Lonchura striata: one gene and its partner. The protein of the gene in region 1 interacts with the protein of each later gene in a biochemical or structural test. Links are inferred from orthologs where the notes say so. Each region holds a gene or a part of one and is shown on either strand. Other genes may lie near its edges. The genes, in order: FGFR4 and FGF19.

What was found.
Region 2: the proteins of FGFR4 (region 1) and FGF19 form a complex in vitro, tested with the Homo sapiens proteins (2 studies listed by BioGRID and IntAct). The link is inferred for Lonchura striata from reciprocal best matches to the Homo sapiens genes FGFR4 and FGF19.

The regions. Positions count from the first base shown.
Region 1 is NC_134617.1:3,320,184-3,329,211, reverse strand, and holds the start of FGFR4 (fibroblast growth factor receptor 4), read left to right. Parts: upstream 1-5,182; 5' UTR 5,183-5,237; intron 5,238-5,589; 5' UTR 5,590-5,621; coding exon 5,622-5,694; intron 5,695-6,649; coding exon 6,650-6,919; intron 6,920-7,023; coding exon 7,024-7,113; intron 7,114-7,235; coding exon 7,236-7,402; intron 7,403-7,488; coding exon 7,489-7,612; intron 7,613-7,888; coding exon 7,889-8,079; intron 8,080-8,191; coding exon 8,192-8,330; intron 8,331-8,413; coding exon 8,414-8,607; intron 8,608-8,851; coding exon 8,852-8,997; intron 8,998-9,028. Other genes in the region: ZNF346 (zinc finger protein 346), read left to right, coding at 753-858. UniProt on the Homo sapiens protein: Tyrosine-protein kinase that acts as a cell-surface receptor for fibroblast growth factors and plays a role in the regulation of cell proliferation, differentiation and migration, and in regulation of lipid metabolism, bile acid biosynthesis, glucose uptake, vitamin D metabolism and phosphate homeostasis.
Region 2 is NC_134608.1:55,199,958-55,208,347, forward strand, and holds the start of FGF19 (fibroblast growth factor 19), read left to right. Parts: upstream 1-4,963; coding exon 4,964-5,189; intron 5,190-5,273; coding exon 5,274-5,377; intron 5,378-8,220; coding exon 8,221-8,390. UniProt on the Homo sapiens protein: Involved in the suppression of bile acid biosynthesis through down-regulation of CYP7A1 expression, following positive regulation of the JNK and ERK1/2 cascades. Stimulates glucose uptake in adipocytes. Activity requires the presence of KLB and FGFR4.

The DNA of each region.
Region 1 (9,028 bases):
AAATACTTGTTCTGGAGACTGCCAATCTTTAATTTAAGAGCCTTCACTAAAAGAGGCACAGTAATGAGCCTGGGTTGGTTAGAAAGCTTCTTAGAAGGAAGAGGCATTAGGAAATCCTACCTGAAGGGAGGGCAGGCTCCTAGCCAAATTCCCCAGAAGGGACAGGAAGAAAACTGGCATCTCTTGTTCCCTCTCTATGGAATAACAGCCTCCTGGTCCCTCAGCTCTGGGGAGTACTTGATGAGAAAACATCTTTCATCCCAGGGAAGTTCCAGCTCTCGAACAGCACAACTAGATTAGTGAATAGGAAGTATCCCATTCTAGAGAGATAACACTGAGGATGTTCCCAACGCATACACATTAATGTTCTCTTTAAGAACACTGCTGTTGTTGGAGCTGTTGCAGCCACACAACTCTCTTTCAGAATGCTCCTCTGGATTCAGCTGTGCAGTCCTGTTCCAGCTTCTGCAGCCTGCAGAGAGGCAGGATGCTTGCTTTGTAATGGGAGCTCTTTAGCAGTCCTTGAGCTCTGCCGCAGCTAATTCTGCCATGCTAAAGGTGTCTGTTTACACACAGGCACAGAGAGCAGGGATTCACTTGGAAGATTTTCTGGCAAATCTTCCCTTGGCTGCAGTGGGTTGTTGCTCTGCTGACAGCCTTGCCTGCTGAGCAGTGATTGCAGTTGGCACATTTCAGAGCATTTGTGACATTGTCTCCTTTTTTTCCTTTTTGTTGCTCCCTTCAACGTGCAGGATGCCAGGAGCAGTGCCGGTTGTCGGACCGTTCCCGCCACAACAGTATGTCCGGGAAGAGTCAACTGGCCCAGGAGGCTATAGTTACTTCAGCCAAGACCTCTAGAGCAAGTTGCAGCACTATTCTCGGAGTTGTTGGTGGCCCCAGAGCGCACATCCTTTGCCAGCCCACAATGGTTTCATTATCCCTCTGGATAAGCAAAGCCCTACCCTCCTGTATACACCCGTTGAGCAGAACGGGGACTGAATCTGTCAGGAAAAGGATCCAGCTGGAAGAGACTTGCTAGACAGCAAATACTTCACTCCCTTAGAGTAGTTTTCATTGTGTAATTGCTTCCTGTGAAGGTGGGTGTGGTGTGAGAGGAAGTGTCTATCTGGTGTAAGGAGGGCTTGGCAGCAAGCTGGTAGTGGCACCTTCTCCCTGTCCCCTCTGGTGGGCTGCCCATTCTGCTGCTGGACTGTTGTCAGAGGGCACCAGCACCCATGGGCACACCCAGGATGACAGGAGGGGACCTGGAGCCTGGCTGTGGGACCAGAGCCACCCACATGGCCGGGAAGCTGAGGATGGAGCATGGTGCCTGTCCCTAGGTGTGCCCTGGTGTTGGTGTGCTGTTGGCCCAGCTCTGCGCCTCCCTGCCCCGGGCCACAGCTCTGGCTGTGTCGCCAGTCTGAACTCCATCGCCTTCTGGGCTGGCAGGCGCAGGACAGAGCGTAGAACCACCCAGCAGCCACATCCTCCACAGAAGCACCACAGTCCCCTGCCCAGGCCGCAGCCAGCTCTGTGGAGCCTGTTGCTCCTCCAGCAGCACACCCAGTATCCCTGCCTCAGCCAGGAGAAGCTCAGTCCTGGCCACAGTCCCAGCCACTGCCATCCCTCGTGGCCCCGCAGGCTCCATTGAGTAAATCAAGTGCAGATGTGGAGTCAGGACCGGGTGCCTGCTTACAATTAGGGGCTGGGAAAATTGGGTGGCCCCATTCTTGCTTTGCAGTTCCTTGCCATGGCTGCTGCTTTACCAGGCTGAACCCCCAAATGTTGTGCAGGGGACAGGGCTGGTGAGTAAAGCTCCTGCTTTCTTGGCCACAGATCAGCACTGTGTTGCCCAACCCAGCACATGGTGTGTGCCATGTTCCCATGGGGAGCAGGAGATGTTCTGGCCCCATGCACCTCGTTCCCCGTGCCAGCTGCAGCTGCAGCACTCCCCCACACAGCCAGGGGAGGAAGAGGTGGCAGGGCTGCAGCAGGACAAGGCATGACACTGCCCACCCTCCTGCCATATTGCCCTCAACTTGTGTGTTCCCCACTCAGCCTTCACTGCCCAAGTCTGTGGATGCTCCTGTGCCATGCTGGGGGCTAGAAGAAGCCTGGGTCCCTGATATCCCTGTCCTGCAGCCCCTGCACTGGGCCCCACATTCTTGGCTCCCCAGAGGGAGCAGCAGGCTTATGTTTGCCAAGTTCTGCCTGGTTAAACCTTAACCAAGCTGGGTTGCTCCATCAGTCCCTCCCAGCCAGAGATAAGGATGGGCAGGAAAGACCACGGCCTGATGGGGCATACTGCCCCAAACCTGGCTGCTTGCCTCCAGGGCAGGACCCAGCCCCTGCAGAGCATCCTGCCCAGTCTGGGGCAGCTGCCTGCCTATCCAGCTTGCTCCCTCCCTTCCTCAGCGGGCCCCCACTGATATGAGGGCAGCAGGTTGTGGCTGGGGCTGGAAGCTACCATGTTGAAGCCAGTGGACTGGATGGAGCTGGAAACCCTTGCTCCAGGGCTGACCCACTCCCTCAGTGCCAGAAGGTTCACATCACCCCAGCACATTGAATGAGCATGCTCAGCCTCAGATCCTGTGCACGTACAGTGAGCTGGGGCTTCTGTGCCCCAAACAAGAGCCGTTCAGGAGAGGCCAAGAGAAACTTCCAGGAGGAAAGAGCCCCCCAGGCTCCGGCCCCCACAGGAGCCACCGTGCTGCGCGGGCTCTGGCTGGCCGCAGGTGCCACCACAGCGGGAGTGGCGGCAAGTGCTGGGGCCAGGCACAAGGGGCGGCTGTGTTCCCGCAGCTCCGGCTGCCTTCCAAGAGCAATATTGTTGGCACCAGGCAGGCTCCCTGCACCGGCAGCACATACATGGGCCTTTCATGAGGAGAGTGGGGATGATTTACTGCCTGGGGGAAGGGGCAGGGGCGGGAGGATGGAGCCCCAGCATGCCGGCGCCCGGCCCCTTGTGCGTGCTCGCTGCTGCGGGGCCCCGCACATATTAGCAAGGCCAAGGATCTGGCAAGGGGGTCGTCTCTCCCAACGGGACATGGGGTAAGAGGGATCCCTCTGCAACATCTGTGAAGTTCTGAGAACACACTTCATCTCTGGGCACCGCGCTGTGAGCTGTCACTTGTGCCACAGTGATGGGGGCAGCCCATGAGCTGGGGGAGATGGCCATCAGAGGAGGGTGCTGGGGCAGGGGTGCACCCACAGCGCAGAGTGCTGTGCTGGCACAATCCCCCCTTGTTGAGCTGCTGGCGTGGCAGAAGCCGTTGTGGTGCTGCCGGCAGCGGGTGGCAGGCGGTGGGGCTGGGCTGCTGTGAAGGGCTTTTTGTTTGCCGTCAGTTGCTGTTATAAATCAAGCCAGGCAGCCCAGCCCCAGCCCAGCACTGCCCCATGGCAGGGAGGTGACCAGTTCCCAGCTGCCTACAGCAGAGCCCCACCAAGCCCTGGCCTGTGCCTGGCATTGTCCTGGCCCAGTGGGGATGTTCAGTGTGACACTGGGCAACATGCCCACACTGGTCTGCTTGCCCTTCTTCCACTCAGCATTGGGGAACCCTGGGATACAGGGAATCTTTCCATGTTCATCCCAGGCTGTGTCTCCCACAGGCTCCCCAGAGTCCCAGCTCTCCCTGGTGTTCCAAATACTGGGAACATCCCCTTCTCTCTGGTTTTAATTTGGTTTTGGTTCGAATTGAGCTGAACCCAACATTTTTCTGTGCTTCCGGCACACTGTGAACTCTGCAGGGGCGGCCGCTGCTCCGTGAAATTGATGTTCTCGTCCGCTTCACGCGTCAGCAGGAATGAACAGCTGCTGGGGGCTGCTGGCCCCCAGGACTGCTCTGTGCACCTCTGCACCCCAAGGGGACACACACCAGTACTCCAGATGGGGAGCAGCACAGGGTGGATGGTGCTATGGGAGATTGTAGCACCAACCAGACCTCACAGTGAAACCATGTCATGCTGGATGGTTTGGTGCAGTGGAGCAGCATGGACAAGGCTGTGCCCAGGACTCAGGTTTGATCCTACAAAAAGAGGGGTGACAGTGACAGTGTACCCCACTCACAGGGCCACAAGGTCCACGCCAGGCATGGGCAAGGCTGTTGTGTGGGGCTCAGCATAACCCTGGAAGATCTTGCTGGAAAGCAGATGGCGAAACAGATGCAATGCAGGAAAGGAGAGCAACTCTAGGGCCAGACCCTGGCCATGTACTGGGGGACACTGACCCCTCTTGATGGCAGCAGGATGCTCAGGGGACATTGTTCCTTGGGATCACGCCAACTCGAAGTGCCTAAGGCCAGGCATCCCCCAGTGTCCAGTGGTCTTGTATGGGCCAGCCAGCAACAGGGCTTGGGCATGGTGGGGTCTGCCTGCCCCAGCACAGGCAACAGCATAGGGAAGGTGAGGGCGAAGTGTTTATGGGTTGGATTAGGCCACTCCAACGCTGGCTCGCACCTTAGCCACGTTTTATGATGCTCCGTTATGGGCTCCTAATGAGGGTCACAGCCACTTTATGGCACTGACAGCGATAACGCTACAACTAATTATGGCACAATTAGCCAATTAGCGTGTGGGCTGCTGGGCACCCAGCAACGCTCAGCGCCCAGCTTGGGCCATGACAGCTGCTTGGGGCTGAAGTGCTCCCACCCCCAGCAATCGGGGGGAAACAGGGGTGGCCTTGCCCCCTGTCCCATCTGCTGCTCCCCACGCGTGGGGTCTGCCTGGAGGACAGCAGAGGGGAGCAGCCCCGGGTGTTTTGCAGCCCCCTGTGCTCCCCACCCGCGAGGGGAGGCTGTGCCGGCGGAGCCGGGACAGAGTGGGCCGGGGGCCGCCTCTCGCCGCTGCGGGGGAAAGGCCGGTGCTACCCCCCACCTTCCCCCGTCCAGCTCGGCGGCAGGTCGGTCGGTTTGCAGAGATGCCGGAGATGCGGGGCCGGTCCCCGTCCCCCCACCCCTCCCGCCTCCCCAGCGCTCCGGGCGGGGCCGCTGTAACCCGAGCGCGTCCCTACAAAGTGCCCGCGCCCCCGAGGCGGCGGCAGAGCGGGGCCGGAGCCAGCCGGGAGCGAGCCCCAGCCCTGCCCGCCGCCGGAGCCGTCCCGAGCCCGGAGCCAGAGCCGTCCCGGCCCTGCCGCCATGGGGCCACGGTCTGGGGCTCGGCGGCGCTGAGCCCGCTGTCCCCGGACTTTGCCCCGGCCCGCGCAGCGCAGGCGGCTCCGCCGCGGGAGCCCGTCACCGCCGGTAACCGCGCCGACCGCGACCCTCGCCCCCGGCACCATTCGGGCCCCCCCTCCCGGGACACTCCCCCCTGCCTGGGATTCTCCGTGGTCCCCCGCCCCCGGTTAACCTCCCCTAGAGCCCTGACCAGGCTGAAGCTGGCCGGAGAGGTCGAATTCCCGGCGCTCAAACGGGGTGTTTCCCACTCTCCGTGCCCCCTCCCATTCCTGCCCAGGGACCCCCGTGCTCTGCCTCCCGTCCATGCCCACCCACCCTCGCGGTGACCTGGGGACCTCGCACTGCTTCTCCCCGGTGCCTCGGGAGAGGAGGGGTCTGCCCGCCCGGATCCGCTCACCCGACCCTGCCTGTCCCGCAGGGTGGGACCCCCGCGCTGGGGGGGCCTGGAAGATGCGGCCCCTCTTGCAGGTCGTGGCGGGGCTGCTGCTGGCGGTAGCTGCACGGGGCAGGGCGATGGAGCCAGGTACGGCTGCGGGGGGCGACGCGGACCCGGGGGCGGTGGGAGTGGGTTCCTGCTTTCTGAATACTTTCTCCATCCCGGCTGGGCGGCGACCCCTGGGCTGGGATGCGAGTGCTTGCCCTGGGCATGCAGCCCCACCGCTCTGCCTGCAGGGCAGGGCTGGTGGGAACTGGGGACAGGGCACAGGGACCGGTGTTCCCATCACTGACAGGGGCAGGGTGGCTCCAGCCAGGCTGTCCCTGTGCTGCGGGGGCTTGGCTCGCTCGCTGGACACGCGTGGCAGAGAGGGGTTGTGAGACCGCTGTGGGCTGTGGCTGCTGTGTGTGACACCTGGTGAAATGCGGGCAGTGCGTGCCTCGAGGTGGTGGGTGCGGGAGAAGGATGCGTCCCCCGGGACCAGAGAGCAGCTGCCCCACATCCCTCCTGTGCTGGCCATGCACTGGGCTGGAGGCACATTCGTGCACTCCAGGCTCCTGCACATGGGCAGTCGTGCTGCCGTGGTATTGCTGTGCTGGCGACCAGGTTGTTTCTGCCCTCCACGGGCACATGCTGCTGCTGGCCATCGGCAAGCTGGGCTCCACTGCCAGCCGGGCACTGCCAGGGACAACCAGGCTTTAGGGGTCCCAGCCATGCTTGGGGCATGTAGAGGTCCGACGATGGGTGTCTGGAGGGGTTTGTTGCCCTCCTTCAGTAAGGCAGAGCAAGCTGGAGCACCCTGCACCGCTGGGAGTGGTGGAAGGATAGTGGCATGTATGGCCTTGGCCAGGGACATGCCATTGGGGAAATCATGTCCCCGTGCTTCAGGTCAGAGTCCAGCCCTTACCTGCTTCTAGGGTGGCAGAGCCAGGCTCTGGGCTGTGTCACACCACATGCTCTCCACACTAGGATGGGCATATGGAGGGGTCCTGCTATCAGGGAGGGGTGAGCACTGGGGTGGGTGCTCACCACATCTCTCCAGAGCTATTTGAGAGCCCCTTGCTGGAGTCAGAAGATGAACATCTCCTCCTGGACCCAGGCAACACATTGAAGCTGTACTGTGATGCCAACCAGAGTGGTGCCAGTGTGGTCTGGTACAAGGAGTCCCGGCCACTCGTCTCAGGAGGTCGCATCCACCTCCGTCAGAGCCTGCTGGAGATCTCAGAGGTCACCTACGAGGACTCAGGGCTCTATGTGTGCCGGGCACGGGGAACTGGAGAGGTCCTGCGCAACTTCACCATCTCTGTCGTGGGTAGGAGCCCCGGCAGCACCCAGCTACCCTTGGGGCAGCAAAGCAGCCACTGCCTGCCCAGCCCTGCAGGCAGGGATGTCCTTCTCAACCGTTTCCCTTTGCAGACTCCCTGGCATCAGGTGATGATGATGAAGATAGTGATGGGGACAGTCCCCACGGAGACCGAAATGAGGAGTCGGTCTATGTGCACAGAGGTCAGTGCCACACCAGGGCACTACAGGAGAGGGCAGGTGGGGCAGAACCAGGGGCATGGGGCACTGCTGCCTCCTGCTACCTGTACAGGCCCCCTCCCATTGTACATCCTGCACGTCCCCAGCTCCTTACTGGACTCACCCACACCGGATGGACAAGAAGCTGTATGCAGTCCCTGCGGGGAACACGGTGAAGTTCCGCTGCCCGGCCTCAGGCAGCCCCAGCCCCAGCATTCGCTGGTTCAAGAATGGTCGAGAGTTCCGAGGGGAGCACCGCATCGGGGGCATCCGGGTATGGGACAGCTCCTCCCACCACAGCTTCCCTCCCAGGATCCCTCTTCCCCAGCTCACCTCACTGCCTTACCTCCCTCTCTGCAGCTCCGGCACCAGCACTGGAGCCTGGTGATGGAGAGTGTGGTGCCCTCTGACCGTGGCAACTACACTTGCCTGGTGGAAAACAGGTTTGGCAGCATCCGCTACAGCTACCTCCTGGATGTGTTGGGTGAGGGTTCCTCAGCATGTGCTGATCTGGGCTTCCCCATACCTGGTGGGGTCAGAGAAAGGGGTGGAGGAGCCTCTGTGACCTACCCACTGATGCAGCTCACATGTCCCTCACAATCCAGGGACATGGGATGGAGACCAGGCTTGGGTTGCGCTGGTCTGTTTTAGGGTTGGGGAAGGGCCCAATGTGGCTCCATGGTGGGTGGAGAAGGAGGGAGAAAGGAGCCTGTACTCTGGGCCACCATGTTAGTGACACTGCTCTGCTCCCTGTGTGCAGAGAGGTCCCCGCACAGGCCCATTTTGCAGGCTGGGCTGCCTGCCAACACCACAGCCCTGGTGGGCAGCGATGTGGAGTTCTTCTGCAAGGTCTACAGTGATGCCCAGCCCCACATCCAGTGGCTGAAGCACATTGAAGTGAATGGCAGCAACTACGGCCCCGACGGGGTCCCCTATGTGCAAGTGCTCAAGGTAACAAGGGCTGGAAGCACTCAGGTCCCAGATACCTGTGCTAAGGTGGTGACAGGGGTGCACAGAGCTCCCTGAGGAAGAGGGATACTGACCGTCCATCCCTCTCTGACAGACTGCAGATATCAACAGCTCTGAGGTGGAGGTGCTGTACCTGCGCAACGTGTCCATGGAGGATGCTGGCGAGTACACCTGCCTGGCAGGGAACTCTATCGGCCTCTCCTACCAGTCTGCCTGGCTCACTGTCCTGCCAGGTAGGGGTGGGGTTCTGGTGTGGGGTCTGGGATCCCCAGCACGCAGAGGCCATGTCTCAGGCCAACACATTCACTCCCTGCAGAAGAGGAGCTGGTGCGGGAAGCTGAGGCCCCTGAGACCAAGTACACAGACATTATCATCTACACCTCGGGCTCGCTCGCCGTGGCCATGGCCATTATTATTGTGGTGCTGTGCCGGATGCAGACTCAGTCAAGCAAGCAGCACCTGGAGCCTATGGCAGTCCACAAGCTCTCCAAATTCCCACTCATCCGACAGGTGGGTACCAAACTTGAGCCCTACTAATGCAGGGGGACCTTGGTGACCAATGGGCTCCAGGAGTGCCACTTGTGCCCATCACACCTTACCCTGCTGCCAGCCTTGGGGCTGCCCTTCCCAGTTCCCCCTGCAGCTCCCTCACCCCATTGCTCCAAGTGAGATCTCTACTTTTCTGTTGCATCTTTGTTGGGCCCTGGAGCGTGGGATGGGATGGATGGCTGAGGACCTGTGTCTCTCTCCACAGTTCTCCCTGGATTCCAGCTCCTCTGGGAAGTCCAGCACATCCCTGATGCGGGTCACCCGTCTCTCCTCCAGCTGTGCCCCAATGCTGGCTGGTGTCATGGAGCTGGACCTGCCCCTTGATGCCAAGTGGGAGTTCCCCCGAGACAAGTACGGTTCTGCGCAGGGCTGGGACAGGGGC
Region 2 (8,390 bases), on another chromosome or scaffold:
TATATCTTTTTCTCCTGTTCTCTGTCTAATAAATGAGAAGTATTTCCAGGGAAGGTGGAACTTGTCATAAAGACAGCATTATTACACAGTGTCAGGAAAAGAATACAGGTAAATGCTCCAAGGATACCACATTTGACTGAGAACTGATGATCTAGAGTCATCCTCTTCTAGAAAATCTTCTCTTATGGCTTTCACCAACATGTTGTGTAAACAAACTCCAGGGGCATTGCTCCCTAGGTCAAGCTGGAAATCAAAATGGAATTTGTTGGCAAAGAAACCTGCAATTATTCATTTCTGTTGCAGGACAAAGATCTGCTCAAAACATAAGGAAAAAAAAAAACATAAGAAAACACAGCTTTTGTTGGTTTAATGCTGGAGAAGCACAGTATCAAATATGATCCCATAAAATCGGTAAGATTTCTTCTATAGTGGAATTATGAAGGATTTCATAGCACACAGAAAAGATTGGAGTGGATAAAATACCTCTAAAACATGAAATAATGGCTTACAGTGATGAAAAAAAAGCATTTAGGCTATTTGAAGCTGGTGGGAATTTTGTGAACTTTAGAGCAGACCTAACCAGAAGATATCATTTGACTATGCAAGCTCCAAGTCGATTCCAGGCTCAGTATTGCTCTCCGGAATGCATTGACTGATAGCAATAGCTGAGGAAGCATTAGATAACAGAATGGTGAGAGATATTTGAAATTGGTTGTCTGGCTGTGCTACTTGGAAAGAACCAGCAACAACACATGCCAATTGCAGTAGCAACAATCTCCTCAGTGTGTTGTCCTTCATTAGCAGAGCAGTTTTAAAAGCAGAATCCCTCTGGAAGTGGATCATTTGGAAAATCTATAAGTCTCTGATGCATTTGAATCCTACAAATTCACCGAGGACTGTGGTATCAGGGGAGAGACTGAGTGCTCTCCTGATCCTATGACATCCTGTCAGTGGGCGCGCCCAGCAGGAGCTGTGGAATCTCAATTCTGCACTCATTCACAGCCCCGGGAGAAATATTGTCACCTCCATGCCTCTTGGATTGCAGAAGCAGCTGGGAAGCAGAGCAGTCCCTGACATATGGTGGAGTAACCTCTCCTTCTTAGGCAGGTTTTTTAACTTGTGCTGTGCTGATAAGGCTCTATATAGAACAAGCTCGTGCTCGAGTAACCGTGTATCACAGTGTCCTGTGTCTTCACTTATGCCTTCCCTCATTCTCCTGACATATTCTTCTCCACCAGAAGCAAGAGAAAAGGCTGGACTGCTCTGTTGGCTCTCTGCCACGGGTAAAATAATTTTCTTTTCTCTGACACTTCAGGGATGACTGGCAGGAACCACAGCAGAAACCAGAAACTGGCAGCATTAGCACTGACATCTCCAGTCCTGCCTGGAACCTTACTGCCCTCAGAGTATTTGCAGCTTCTGTAATTCTCCCACCTCTGACTTCAGAGAAAAGGGGGAAGATTGACAGATCTCTTCACAAAAGTAATACTAGATAACACTTGTGTAATGCCAAATACAAAATCTGCAGGAGGTCCCAAAGACAGCCCAAAGGAAGGAGAAAGTCTTCAGTGTTTCTGAGGTATTTCCCTCTTCCTGCAGTGACTCGTACAACCAAAGCTGTCACCATGATATTCCAAAGTTCCATAATTGAGAAAATGTCTCTTCATCCTAAACACCTCCAGTTTTTATCACATTTTGACCCTCACTCAGCCTTGAGTGACTCACCTATATCATTCTTCCTTTGATCTCCACCACAAAGGTAGCCTGCTACAACCTACTTTGACTCATGGGTGGCTTCTTGCCCTATTTCCTCACCATTTTTTGTGGCCACCTTCCTTAGTTTCTTTTCAGTTAGTTTCAATGATGTCGTTATCCAGTAAGGTGCAAGCCCTCTGTTACCTTTTTGGTGTGTTCCAGGATCTCTGGATGTTTGACTTTTAATTATAGCTAATTTTATTCTTCTAAAACACATTCACTTCAACATCATTATTGCTGAAATCTGGACTTCTCGTTCTGCAGAAATTGCATTGGGGCATGGAAAAGTGCAGTGGAAATGAATGATGCATTGCAACAGGTGAAAATGCTTTTGTAATTGTGTATGTTTAGTTAGGAGGTATTTTTGGTCTATAAGACTTTCCTCCTGGGTTTTGTTGTTTTTCCTATCTTCATAAAAGCAGAAAATCTGACACTACCAGGTTTCCTTGTTTCAGGAAGCAGGTCCAGCACTGGAAGTGAATGTGGGATTTACCCTACAATACATTTGTTCTGCAAACATCTCTTTTCCTGCAAATTCATTTGTAAGAAAATGCAAATGCATGTGTCTTTCTATTGAACTTTGATAAAACATGCCAATAAACGATAAAGTTCAGTGACACAGACAGGAACTGAAATTAAAATAATGTGTCGCAACTCTTGTATTTTGAATTCAGTGACACTCACTAGCTCATTTATCTCTAGCTAAAAATAAGTTCTCTTTAGTTTCTAGCTAAAAATAAGTTACCTGAATCTGAATAAATCATCGAGGCTTTTTTATTTTTTTTTCTTTACAGAGGCAGTAAGAAATGAACACTTCCAGGGTATATTCAACCCATATCTCTTCAGCAGCTGTTTTGTGATAGAATTGGCACCATTCAGTCTAGTTAAGTGTTTGCAGACACTTAGCTCTGTCAGGGACTATGGGGGAACTTGGACAAATTATTTAGGTTGGAACCTTGCCCTAACAAGAGAGGCCATTCCAAAAAAAAATTTGTTAAGTGGTAATTTTTGTTTCAATTTGATTATACACAAACCCTTTAACATCAGCCCATGCAACATCAGCAACAGCAACAACGAAAATTATTTTTAAAGGCTCTCCATCATTTGCTGGGAAATTCTCCTTTATAGCCCCCTTTTTCACTGATTTGAGATATCATTTAGTGTGATTTGCCCTTTCTGCCTCAATTTTTGATCCTCACAGAGATGAATTAACAAGTTCCAAGCATCAGTTCCTTACTTGAAAGAAGCCTGAACTTCATGATGAAGAAAATAACACTTGTGATCATGATTATTGTTCCCACTAGAGTATAGCATAAGCAGGGTCATAAAACAGCTTCTATTAACTGAGATGCACAGAAAAATAGAACTAAAGAAGCCCTTCAGATTAATTTCAGACCATAACCTCCGCGTGTGTGGTGGGTGCTCATTACCTTGAAGAATGCCAGGATGAGTTACATGCACAACTGCTGTGGGGCCCAGGGTTGCAGGGCAGGAACTGCCTTTGTAGCAGCCATGTAATAACATTGCAGAGGAAAAAAGAATTAGGGACTTGCATGCCTTAGTATTATTTACTGGGCTTATAATACTGTGAACTTCCGTGATGTAAGGGAGACCAGAATTGGTAGGAAAGCCCACACATTATTTGGAGGATGCAGCAGGAGACACCTGAATGAAAAGTGATCTTAATCCTTATTAATTATTCAGCGATCATTCAGGGAAAAACTAGGGTTTTTTTCTGGGTGTTTCAAGCTGATCACCAAAAAAATGCCCAAAGCTAATCAAAAGCTGCTTTTGGAGTGATTGATGAGATTTAATCCCTTGTTCCCAGTGAGTTTGTTATGCAAGACCCTGGTCATCCAAATGTGGACTGGATTTAACTCCAGTTAAATACACCTGAAGTTGCACATGAAAATAAGTGCAAGATATCCTCCCTCCTAACAAGCCTCTGTGTTTTTGTATAGCTTGTCTGTGTGCTCATCCTCACTGAGCTAAGATTGCTTATGAAGAACAGTTTTTTGTGGGAGTATTTGCAGGAGGGAGATTCAAGTGCAGGGACAAAAGGATGAAAGTGAACAAGTAGCAAAATATAAAAACAGTATGTGGAAGCTGATCGAAGCTTTGTGTTTCAGAGAAGATGGTCTGGAGGTGGGGCTATGTCTTGTTGAATTGTCATTTAATGTCCTGGCCAGGGGGGAGGGGGGGGAGCGGGAGGGGTGGAATTCTTTATGAAATTGCCAGTTTTCTTTTTGGGAATCTGAGAAAATTCCTTCAACGATTACTTTGGATGTACAGCAGAAAAGTCGGCAGCAATCCCTTTAAATATGTCTGAGATGCAAATACGGTGGAAAGCCGCCAAATTTGTGTGTCTTCTTTCCAGGGGCACTCGCTGAGCGAGCTCCCTGGGAGGAGCCCACGTGGAAAAAATCCATGCGCGGACCAGAAAACCTTAAATCGGGTAATGCAGTTTTACTTCACCCAGGATTTTTTCCTCCCAGTCTCTTTGTAAGAAGTGGGGACAATCAGGAGCTGGAGAGCGCCCCCAGAGCGGCTCCCCCGAGGCGAGGCAGCCGCATCCCAGGGGCCAGGCTCCATCTAGTGACCCGGCCGGGGATGGCCGGCGGGGATCCAGCCCGGAGCCGCGCCGGGACACCTGCAGCCGCCGGTACCCGGCCGGACCGGGCTTTGCAGGGCCAGGCCGGGCTGTACCAGTGCCGTGTGCCCCGCCGGCTGCCCGGAACGGGGAGCGGCTGTGCCGCTCCCGCAGCGAGCGTTCGGCCCCTGCCGGAGAGGCGAGCCCAGGTTTAGGCAGCAGCTCTTTTATTTCTGAAAAGGGAAATGAAATACAGGACGGGCAAGGGCGAAGGCAGGGGCTGAGCCGCGGCGGGGAGCGGGGCAGCCTCCTGTCACTGGGTGGGCTGGGTACACACACGCCCACCCCCGGTCCCCGTCCCGGCGTCGCATCGGGGCTGCTGGACGCGCAGTGCCCTGGGACCGCGGGCAGAGCCTCTCAGGAGCAGAGAGCTCGGAGATGCGGATGCGGAGGACGCGACTTTAGGGTGTCACCCGCTTAATATTTTCGGGGGAGTGACCGACCCGGCTATGAAATGGGCTCTATATCGGATGCGGATCGATGGAGCTGATTACGGCGAGCTATAAAAGGCCGGGGGGCGGTTGCGGCCGCGCTACAGCCCCGAGGCGCCGCGCCGGGATGGGGCTGCGCCCCGCCGCGCTGGCGCTGCTCGCTCTGGCGGCCGCCGCCGCCTCCGCGCTGCCGCTGCCGCTGCCCGACGCCGGCCCGCACCTCAACTACGGCTGGGGAGAGCCCATCCGGCTGCGGCACCTCTACACCGCCAGCAAGCACGGGCTCTTCAGCTGCTTCCTGCGTATCGGCGCTGACGGGCTGGTGGACGCGGCCGGCAGCCAGAGCCCGCAGAGTGAGTGGCGGAGGCGGGGATGGCGATGGCGATGGGGATGGGCCGGGGGTGACACTGCTGTCCCCTCTCTCTGTCTGCCCGCAGGTCTGCTGGAGATTCGCGCCGTGGCCGTGCGCACCGTGGCCATCAAGGGCGTGCAGAGCTCCCGGTACCTGTGCATGGACGAGGCGGGGCGGCTGCACGGGCAGGTGAGCACCCGCGCTGCTGTCCTCGGGGGGATTTTCCGCTCTGGAACAGCGGCGTGGTCTAATAATGGGGTAACAAAACTTCCAGGTGTCCGCCACCGTCCCTCCCACACCTTCCCTGCCTGTTCTCCCCTAGGACCTGCGGTTCTCGTCACCCTCACTGCCCGAAAGGCTGTGGGGATTGTTAGAAGGCAGAAAAGAAACGTCATTTAGAGAGTAAATGATGTTCTGAGTGTCCCCTGCCAAAATATACTGAAAGTACAGCCCAGGGTAAAATGGCATTTAGGTTTAGAATTCTCATCGGTGGGAGACTGTGATTCTACTGCAGGAATAGATTAAGCTCTGCAATAGAATATGAGTAATTTCTCACTGTTCCAGGCAGGTATTCTGGAAAATAAAATTATAAAGAGATTGCTCCTTTGGAGAATAGCTGCAGCCAGCTGGCTGCCGGGCATACAACCCCCAGGAACATGAGTTGCCATCTCTTAGGAAGTTGCAGACAAGAAAAGGATTTTGAGGGGGAAAGGATGCTTCTCCACCACCTCACTTCTGCCCTGCTATAACAGCACAGCTGCGGGATTTTGAGGGGTTGGGGAGTTATGTGCCTCTCTGATGCCACTAGATCAGCTTTTTCACTACGTTTAGCAACTAGTCATTGACATAAACTCATTTTTAAGGCATGTGAACATATTCTTGACTCTAGAATTTGACAGCTGCAGCTCAGATTTGGTCTGTACAGAAGCCTGAATTTCACAGAGCGATGGCTTTTCATGATGCCACAGTAAAGATACAGCTTGATTCTTTTTTGATCACCCCAGGAAAATTTCTGCTTATTTTATTTAGGAAAGGACTTGGCCCATTCTCAAAACACCCAGTATCTTTAATAACAGCAACACTGATGTTTCTGAATGTGTTTGAAATTAAGAATGCAGAACACAGAATTAAGCCTTTCTTTCTGAATTTTGTTGCTTTTCTGGGCTCAAAACAGTTGAGGCTGAGATGAGGTGCATAAATTCAGACTATATGGTAGGTAAATTATTAGCTTAATTATTTAATGTATATCCAAAACAAATCAGAACCTGGATTCTGCTCCCATTGGTGTCACCAGCTGAACTTGAGTAATCACAGAATTTTAAAATGCCCTTCCTATAGCACCATTTTGAAGGCATACACGTTGACTGGAGCTGCATTTGTTGGCGTAGTGTATTAGATGCAGGCTGGGGTTTTATTCTGAAAACATAACAGATATATCTGTGCTGTCCCATCTCCGTGTTGGGGACACCTGCTGTCACCTCTGTGCTCACAGCCCAGCCAGGCAGTTCTGCAGGTAAATCTTTACCTTATCAGCAGCATGCTCAGGACTAGGAGAACAAAAGGGCAAACATGCTGCCTAGGGGCTGAACCTGTGCTCCTGCAACTTGGCCTGTTTTGACACTGGAAAACTGATGACTGGGGTTGGGTTTTGAATGTGCTGTGTGCTGTTTTCAGTAGTTTAGGGGAAATGCTGAATCTACTGACATACCGTGATTCCTTCTGGGGGGGGGGGGGGGGGGCGAAATCTGGAAATATTTAAAAAGTCTGTTTGGCACTTGTTTAAAAAAACAGACTGGAGACCATCCCAATGTAGTGAAGACAGAAAGGTATAGCTGAGACACAGAGACTCAATCAATATCTGTTCTTTTTAGTGCACACTTCTTCAGCAAGGATCTTTTTTATTTCATCATCCTTTTTAGTGAGGCTGAGCACTCATAAAGACAGCCAACAATAGCCAACAATCCAACCCCAATTTTTTATCATATACAGATATTTTTCTGAGATACAATGTGTGTGTGTATAAGGATAAATATTGCACCATTTTTTTTGAAGAAAACATTTTTTAAAAATTACTTTATTAGTTTAAAACATGCTTTTGAAAGATAACCAAATGCATGACCTTAATTTTACTCCATTTTACTGAGAGTGTCTGAGAAAGGCCCAGAAGTCTTAAATATGCTCTCTGTTCAGACAGGCAGAACATCCATGTGAGGACATTTCTGTCTCTGCAGACTGAGACATAATCAGCAATTCTCTTTTGTTGACCAAGGTTCAATCACCTGCAGTAGCTGAGACTGAAATAGCAACAGAGTTGTAAGAAATACAGTACTGGTGTAAAGATCTAGAGAGGTCTGCTCTACTGATATGGGTTCAGTATACAACTATAATACTATATATACATATATATATTTATAACTTAAGATGTTACAGGTATATAGTATCTGTACAGGCCATTGCAAATGGAATCTTACAAATTCATACCTAAGGAAATACATTCTTCTGTACAAAGTCCTAACTTGTGCTAGTATTCATTCAACAGTTCTCATGTTAACATGAAAATGACACTTTGTAAAAGGATCCTTAGCAATTTCAGTAAATTCTGAGTGGAAAAAGGTGGAAATTACCTTTTAGCATTGTTTTACTGATTGGCCACTCTGCCTTTCTACTGACCTGATCCTGAAGCCCTTGCACAGGCAAATCTCTAAATCAGCTCTGGCATCTGAGACTTTTTTCCCAGTGCTCAGACAGGATAAGTGTAGTGGCTGTGGAGAAGCACATCCCAGGATTCAAAGCTTATTTAATGGGATGGACATGGAAAGAACTTCAGGGCTTCTGGAATAGAATAGAATAGAATAGAATAGAATAGAATAGAATAGAATAGAATAGAATAGAATAGAATAGAATAGGGACTGGGAAAGCCAGGATACCCCCACTGAGGGACTAGGACTTTTCCCACCCAAGGTTTGTTTTGTGGTTGAATACAACCAGCCTGGTGGGCATATTTTTAATTCTCACTATTCCTTGCTTTTCAGCTCAGGTATTCCACTGAAGACTGCTCCTTCGAGGAGGAGATTCGCCCAGACGGCTACAATGTGTATAGATCCAAAAAACACGGAATATCAGTGTCTTTGAGCAGTGCCAAACAAAGACAGCAGTTCAAGGGGAAAGATTTCCTTCCCCTGTCTCACTTCTTGCCCATGAT